Coturnix japonica: one gene and its partner. The protein of the gene in region 1 purifies or fractionates together with the protein of each later gene. This does not show direct contact. Links are inferred from orthologs where the notes say so. Each region holds a gene or a part of one and is shown in the gene's direction. Other genes may lie near its edges.

Evidence for each region.
Region 2: the proteins of HADHA (region 1) and GPC1 purify together in Homo sapiens (co-immunoprecipitation; 3 studies listed by BioGRID and IntAct, with this or other methods). This does not show direct contact. The link is inferred for Coturnix japonica from reciprocal best matches to the Homo sapiens genes HADHA and GPC1.

Annotation. Positions count from the first base shown.
Region 1 is NC_029518.1:95,817,340-95,821,922, reverse strand, and holds the start of HADHA (trifunctional enzyme subunit alpha, mitochondrial), read left to right. Parts: upstream 1-1,696; 5' UTR 1,697-1,740; coding exon 1,741-1,828; intron 1,829-4,583. Other genes in the region: HADHB (trifunctional enzyme subunit beta, mitochondrial), read right to left, coding at 293-367, 727-778. UniProt on the Homo sapiens protein: Mitochondrial trifunctional enzyme catalyzes the last three of the four reactions of the mitochondrial beta-oxidation pathway.
Region 2 is NC_029524.1:621,332-625,142, forward strand, and holds part of GPC1 (glypican-1), read left to right. Parts: intron 1-1,823; coding exon 1,824-1,954; intron 1,955-3,811. UniProt on the Homo sapiens protein: Cell surface proteoglycan that bears heparan sulfate. Binds, via the heparan sulfate side chains, alpha-4 (V) collagen and participates in Schwann cell myelination.

The DNA of each region.
Region 1 (4,583 bases):
CAATGTAGTTCCAACCCCCCTGCCTGGCAGGGCCACCAAACATACACCTTTACTAGATCAGGTTGCCCAGGAGACCCCATAGATCCCCATAGAGACCCCATAGATCAGGTTGCCCAGGGCCCCGTCCAACCTGGTCTTGAACACCTCCAAGAACGGGGCATCCACAACCTCCCTGTGCAGCCTGTTCCAGGGCCTAACCACTCTCCTAGTGAAGAACTTCCCCCTAACATCCAACCTAAACACAGGTAACAACCTGACACGTCAAGGTTCTGATAAATGTAAACATACTTACAGACCCTGATGGCCCATGCTGAAGAAGCAGGGAGGTTTCGGACGGTATGGCTCAGCATAGAAGTCATTTTGATATCTAGAAGTGGAAAAAGGTTGTTAATAATCCACTCTGACCTATCTGGATTAATTTCAAGGGAAATAACCTGCTCGCTTCACACAAGAGCCAAAGAAAGGGAAGAAACAGAAGCTGATCCAAGAGCAGCAGAGATTACTTTCTGTTACAGCATCTAACAGATGAAGTGACTGGCTTGTGACTGCGGCCTGCTAATACCCCTGTAAATTAACACTTATCTCCAGGAGGACCCAGCTCTGATCTGTCAGCAGCTGGTAGTTTTAGCTTCCCCCCTCAATAACTATCCCACCACTTCCCCCTTGAAATACCGTCCCGGAGCCCAGCCAACGTCACCACCAGTGTGATCCTCCTGACGCACTCACCTTGGCACCATTTCACACCACGGCCTTTAACTTTAACCCCAATAACCCTCATTGGGCATCCACACAATAAGCAGAATATCCCACTCAGCGCTTCTCTTTAAAGGTCCCTTCCAATTTAAAAGGTTCTATGACTCTCTCTGGCTATAGCAGCATCCTACAAACCAATATCAAGCTCCTCACACAGATAAAGACCCCATAAACCAAACCTCCTCCCTTCTCTATCCTATCTATCTCTTGTCTCTATCTATCTTCTCTCTCCCTCTCTGCCTCCCCTCTCTTCCCTCATACCTCTGCCGATATCCCAGAGCAGTTCTCACATACCCAACCCAACGCAAGCACAGCACCCATGGATTTCATTGCCTCAAACGCATAAAAACCTTATTTTATTCTTTTTTTTCCCTTTTTTCCCTCCCAGGAACCCTCAGGGACCCCAATAAAACACCTCAATGCCCATAGAGACCCAGAACCTGCTTTGCTTGCATAGCAGCCCCTACACCCCCATATATACACACATATAACACCACACACATCACTTCCTTACCCCTCCTAGGCCTCACCCCCAAATAACCCCCCCCCCAAAATGCCCATAAAAGCCAACTAATCCCAATCCCCCCCACATTCCACGCTGTTTAACCCACACAAGCCCCTATTTCCCCACATAAACCATTATTTCCCCCATTAAATCGCAATTTTCCCTCATAAACCCAACAATCTCCCACCTCCTCCTGCGCACCCCCGTCCTCTCAGCGCCGCCGCCTGCCCTCATGAAGGCCCCCACCCCGCCTCCAGGGCTGCCTCACCCACACCCCCTTTCATCCTTTTCCTCCGCTAGACTGATATCACCTTTACATTATCACCTACAGCCACTAAAGCTTTATGGATAATATGAAATAGAGAGGGAATCAAAACCAAATCGTGCTCGGAGACAGGCACTAGTGTAGACAGCCTCAAGGGCGGATCGAAGCCCCCCCTCCCTTGGCGGCCTCTCCCTCATTCGACCTCGCGCGCAACAAGATGGCGGCCGCAGTGCGCGCTATGGGCAGCTTGGGGCGCTTCGCGGCCGCTACCAAGTATTACCCGCCTCGTCGACAGGGAGCTGAGGGTGAGATATGGGTGGGGGGGAGCCTGGTGTGGTAATGGGGTCGGTGAGGTGGGGGGCAGTGCTGAAATGACGGGTGGGTGGATGTGGGGGGGGTGTGGAGGGCTTATAAGGGGGTTTGTGAAGGGGCTGTAGGTGTATTCATATATAAAGGTGTTAATAAAGGGGGTTTGTGAGGGGTAAAGGGTCGTAGGGATGGTGTTGTGAAGGAGCTGTGGGTGTATCCACGTATAAAGGTGTCAATAGAGGGGGTATATGTGGGGTAAAGGGTCGTAGGGATGGTGTTGTGAAGGGGCTGTAGGTGTATCCATATATAAAGGTGTTATTGAAGGGGGTTTGTGAGGGGTAAAGGGTCATAAGGATGGTGTTGTGAAGGGACTGTAGGTGTATCCCTATATAAAGGTGTCATTGGAGGGGGTTTGTGAAGGGTAAAGTGACATAGGGATGATGTTGTGAAGCCTGTAGGTTATATATAAACGTGTTAATGGTGGGGGGTTTGTGAGGGGTAAAGGGTTGTAGGGATGGTGTTGTGAAGGGGCTGTAGGTGTATTTGTATATAAAGGTGTTAATAAAGGGGGTTTGTGAGGGGTAAAGGGTTGTAGGGATGGTGTTGTGAAGAGGCTGTAGGTGTATCCATATATAAAGGTGTCATTGGAGGGGGTTTGTGAAGGGTAAAGGGTTTTAGGGATGCTGTTGTGAAGGGGCTGTAGGTGTATCCATATCTAAAGGTGTTAATGGTGGGGGGTTTGTGAGGGGTAAGGGGTCGTAGGGATGGTGTTGTGAAGGGGCTGTAGGTGTATTCACATATAAAGGTGTTAATGGAGGGGGTTTATGTGGGGTAAAGGGTCGTAGGGATGGTGTTGTGAAGGGGCTGTAGGTGTATCCATATACAAAGGTGTTAATGGAGGGGGTTTGTGAGGGGTAAAGTGTTGTAAGGATGGTGTTGTGAAGGGGCTGTAAGTGTATCCACATATAAAGGGGGTTTATGTGGGGTAAAGGGTCGTAGGGATGGTGTTGTGAAGGGGCTGTAGTTGTATCCGCATATAAAGGTGTCAATGGAGGGGGTTTGTGAAGGGTAAAGGGTTGTAGGGATGGTGTTATGAAGGGGCTGTAGGTGTATCCATATATAAAGGTGTTAATAAAGGGGGGTTTGTGAGGGGTAAAGGGTCGTAGGGATGGTGTTGTGAAGGGGCTATAGGTGTATCCATATATAAAGGTGTTAATAAAGGGGGGTTTGTGAGGGGTAAAGGGTCGTAGAAATGGTGTTGTGATGGGGCTGTAGGTGTATCCATATATAAAGGTGTCATTGGAGGGGGTTTGTGAAAGGTAAAGTGCCATAGGGATGGTGTTGTGAAGCCTGTAGGTATATCCATATATAAACGTGTTAATGGTGGGGGGTTTGTGAGGGGTAAAGGGTCGTAGGGATGGTGTTGTGAAGGAGCTGTAGGTGTATCCACATATAAAGGTGTCATTGGAGGGGGTTTATGTGGGGTAAAGGGTAGTAGGGGTGGTGTTATGAAGGGGCTGTAGGTGTATTCATGTATAAAGGTGTCATTGGAGGGGGTTTGTGAAGGGTAAAGGGTCATAAGGATGGTGTTGTGAAGGGACTGTAGTTGTATCCGTTTATAAAGGTGTCAATGGAGGGGGTTTATGTGGGGTAATGGGTCGTAGGGATGGTGTTGTGAAGGGGCTGTAGGTGTATCCATATATAAAGGTGTTAATGTAGGGGGTTTATGTGGGGTAAAGGGTCGTAGGGATGGTGTTGTGAAGGGGCTGTAGGTGTATTCATATACAAAGGTGTTAATGGAGGGGGTTTGTGAGGGGTAAAGTGTTGTAAGGATGGTGTTGTGAAGGGGCTGTAGGTGTATCCATATATAAAGGTGTCATTGGAGGGGGTTTGTGAGGGGTAAAGGGTCATAAGGACCCTTTACAACAAAACACAAAGGTGTTGTGAAGGGGCTGTAGGTGTATTCATGTATAAAGGTGTCAATGGAGGGGGTTTATGTGGGGTAATGGGTCGTAGGGATGGTGTTGTGAAGGGGCTGTGGGTGTATCCATATAGAAAGGTGTCAATGGTGGGTTTGTGAGGGGTAAAGGGTCGTAGGGATGGTGTTGTGAAGGGTGTAGGTGTATCCATATATAAAGGTGTCATTGGAGGGGGTTTATTTGGGTTAAAGGGTTGTAGGGATGGTGTTGTGAAGGGGCTGTAGGTGTATTCACATTTAAAGGTGTCAATGGAGGGGGTTTGTGAGGGGTAAAGGGTCGTAGGGATGGTGTTGTGAAGGGTACAGTGTGATGAGGTGTGGAGGTGACACCAAAGGGGGAATGGTGTTGTGTTGGGGTCAGTAGAGGGATGTATAAGGGGTGGGGGGGTCGTAGGCCACATATTGCACTGGGTGAGGGCCTCATTGAGGATTTATTAAAGGTAAAGGGGTTGTGAAGTGGTGTGTCCAGGCACGAGGGCGGGGTGGATCTGTATGTGGCACTATGGGGGCTGGTGGGGATGGGAGTTGCTGAGGTATGTGGTGAGGCCCCCCCTGTATGGGGGGGACACTGTTAGGTGTGTGCCTCCTTGAGGGAGCTGCCGTCCCATGATCTCACCTTTGAGACTCTGGACAACCCCTTTGGAGGGATCCCCCCCTGTTGGGGGCTGTCCTTGTGTCCTTGAGTTGAGGGTTGTCTCTATGTCCTTGAGCTGCTCTCATAGCACCTCAGTGTTCCTGCCCCCCTGGGTGGGGACACCTTTGTCTTTGGGACT
Region 2 (3,811 bases), on another chromosome or scaffold:
GCATTAGTGGATCCGCAGACTGTAATTGCCTGAAAATAGAGTCTTGTAGATGACACTGCAACCCCTCTGTGGCAGCAAAGTTGAACTGCAAGCTCTGTGATGTTACAGGAGATGCTATTTCACAGAACACGAAAACATAACAACTCACATGGCATGTTTAGCTTTAGGTGTGACTGTGCATGCTGTTAAATCCTATATGACAGAGCAGAGCACAGACTGTGCCCTGCATGGGCATGATCTGGTATCTTCTGTGGATTTGTGCTATCCCTTCTGTAGTACTTGCCCAGGATGCTCATTCAGTGGGAGCAGTCAGGACCTGAACATTAGCCATGCAGTATCAAAGAGAACATATTTTTGAGGGCTGTGCATGCTGTTACATTGACAGCAGTGGACTCAGGATCAGGCCATCCTTGTTAACATTGTGCTTCCACTGTGGACCTACTGCCTCTGCACAGTGTCTGCAGGACCTCATGGAAGGCATCTGGGGCCTTTCTGCCAACTCCTACTGCTTTGCACAGACAAGGGACTGAATACACGTTTGAAGTGATGTTGGTCCCCATTTGTGCCCTGGCTGGGTGGACCCCTGCTCACAGGAAATCCTATTGTGCAGCTGAGTGGCACTGCGTGCTATGGGATGGTGTAGAATGGTGTGTTCTACTGATGCCCTGCTGAACTGCTGGGCACAGCTCACCTGGTGGTTTCCTTGCTCATGAATATCAGCACAACGAACATGTGCAGAATAAGCTTTCTGCAGCATCACACCATCTGCTGTGACAGTCTCCTGCCAGACTGATGGGGAAGGTATTAGGATCTAGGATAGAAAATTAATCTCTGCTAAAGAATGAGTTCTTCAGCCTGGACCCTGGGATTTGACCCCCTTTGTGCAGAGAAGGAAAATCAACATCACAGGTGTTTTCTTCCATATGGAGAAGCCGCAGGAACATGAGGTACTTTCTGTTCTATATGAGCGAGAGCCACCCCTGCTCTCTGCTACATCTCTTCCCCTGCCAGGAAGCATTTGGTGTGTCCTGCGGAATGCAAGACCACACGGGAGTCATCTGAGGTCACAAGGAGCTGCCAAGTCCCTAAATCCTCATGGTCTGGCCTTCAGGCTGCTTGGAACAGAGATGGTAGAAAACTGAGGCGGCAGCAGCTCTGCAGCGGCTATTTTGACTGACAAAGCCAGCCCTGGTTACAAACCTAATTTAGGTGTCTGAGACCTGTCCAAAGCTCCTGCTTAACTCTGGCTGGAGATCAGCCAAGGAGATCAGCTTTCCTACGTGTGGCATTCCCCAGTGCCCCATGACCTGTGTGCACACAGTCTGTCTTTCCTTCAGACCCACAGAGCACTGAAAATCTTCTCCATAGGCAGAGGCTGGTTATAGTCCCAAAACACAGTCCCAAAACAGCCATGGTGGCGGGCACCTCCAGGTCAGGCAGGAGCACTTGGAGAGCAGAGCTTTACAAGATAGGAGGAGCTGAGAGCAATAGGCATGTCCTCAGTCACACTCAGTCCCACTGATCAGTTTAGTTGTGGGCTTCACAGTCTGCTCTTTTGCCCTTAGTACATGATATTTCCTTTTTCTTGCTCTTTCGCTGCCTCAGAAGCTGTTGCTCCCATCCAGTACCTTTGGCACCACATCCACCCTTTAGACAGCTGTGCCATTCTGGAGGATAATGAGCATAGGTTTAAAAAGCAGTGAAAATGGAGAGATATCCTCCAGCAGATCTTCCAAGAGGCCAACCCTGTAGTGCACCCAGCATGAGCATGAGCTTTAACATGGTTTGTCTGATGAAGGGATGTCTCTGTGTTATTTTACCAGATGCGCTGGTTGCTGTGGCTGATCGGATTGATGGACCATACAATGTAGACACAGTAATAGGGACTATTCACATGAGGATCTCTGAAGCTATTTCTAACTTGCAAGAAAACAAAGTTTCAATCACAGCCAAGGTAAGAGCGTGTGCCTGGGCCTGGCCTAGGGTACACCATGTGTAATTGCCTGGATCAAATGGTTTTTGTTCTCACTGCTGAATTGAATAAAGGGTAGGAAAGAAGAAGGAGAGATGATGCACACTCTTTTGATGATAGGAAAGTACTGTCTTAGGCAGACAACAACCTTCTGAGGTATTTCCAAATGCTTCTCTCTGCCACAGTCAGCTTTCCTTAGGTACAGACACGCAGGCGGGACAGCACTTGCAGTGACTGTGGGCAACATGGTGTATTTGCTGTCAGGTGCCTCTGTCTGAAGAGCACTGAAGTATTCTGACTGAGCTGGGGCATTTAGAGGAAGTGTACAGTTCTTCTTACACTAGCAACAGAATGCAGCAGCTTCAGCCTGCCTCGGGGTGATGATCTGCAATAGAAACACCATTCCATCAGGCTGTGGGGCAGAGCTGTGGTTTAGCAGTCCATCTGGAGGGGCTCTCCTGATGCCCACCCATCTTTCAAGAAACATATCATGAACATTTGTCTTTCTGCTTGTCTTCTTTTTGTGTGTGTTTGTGTGGCTTCTATAGCTGCAGGTGGGAGTACCTCCAGGGCTTCTGATTCAGCCCAGGGGTTCCCTGAGCCCTGCAGCTATCCCACAGTTAAGGCTAAGATGCAGATGGTGTGTGGCAGGCCCTAACTGCATCTTGGAGAGGAGAAGGAAGAAAATTATTGCTTAACCAAGCAGGAATTCACTAGCACAAATCACAGCATTAATGGGGATATGTATCCGAGGACTCGTTTAGGTTTATTTTCTAACGTGAAAGACCATATTCTTTCTCTCAGTGTTAGGTTGGAAGAAATTGTACACTTAAAAGCAAGCCCATCTTGCCCATCAGGCACATAAAATAAGCCCGTCAGGAGTCATCTGAAAAGAAGGATGTTTCCAAGGGACATAGAATAAGTCTGGTAAAATTAAAGGAGATTAAATAGTCCAGTGTAGTCAGTGTCTGACTAGAAAACAGAACTTATTTGCTAAAGTTCTCAGTGAGATCTAGTGGCCAGGTGAGTTTGGCACCGGTAGTGGATGTTTGGAGCTGCAGATTGATGCGGCTGCGGGCTCTGATTTGGGCGCAGCACAATGATCTGGTGGAGTATCACTGTCAGATGAATCAGAGAATCACAGAATTGCTCAGGTTGGAAAAGACCTTAAAGATCATCAGGTCCAACCGCAACCTGACCATACTACCCTGGGCCCGGGGTTCGAATCCCCCCTGTGGTGCAAGTGGTAGAAGTGCCGCTCTGCAGCACAGAGGCTCGAATCCCGGGAGTTGGACTCGATGATCTCTAAGGTCCCTTCCAACCCGCACGATACTATTACTATTACTATTATTACTATTACCCTCACTCTAACAGCTCTCCGCGAAGTCTTGTTCCTGAGCACCACATCAAGACGGTTTTTAAACAGTCAGTCATGCTGACTCAACCACCTCCATGGAGAACCCATTCCAGTGCTTAACAACACTTTCTGTAAAGTTTTTCCTGATATTCAACCTAAACCTCCCCTGACACAACTTGAGGCCATTTCCCCTCTTCCTGTCAAAAGTGAGAGGAGACCAGTCCCTCTCACTGCAGTCACCTTTCAGGTATTGGAAGAGAACAATAAGGTCTCCCCTCAGCCTCCTTTTCCCCAGACTAAACAGCCCCGGTTCCTTTAGTAGCTCCTTGTAGGGCATATTCTCCAAGCCCAGGCCTAGCCCAGGCTGCTACCCTCCCTCAGCTACAAAAGCTGCTTGGTGTGTAGGTAAGTGACCTTATCAGGGAAGCTGTAGTTACAAAGCCCCCACCACTGATGTAACAACTGTGAGCAATTCCCAGCTT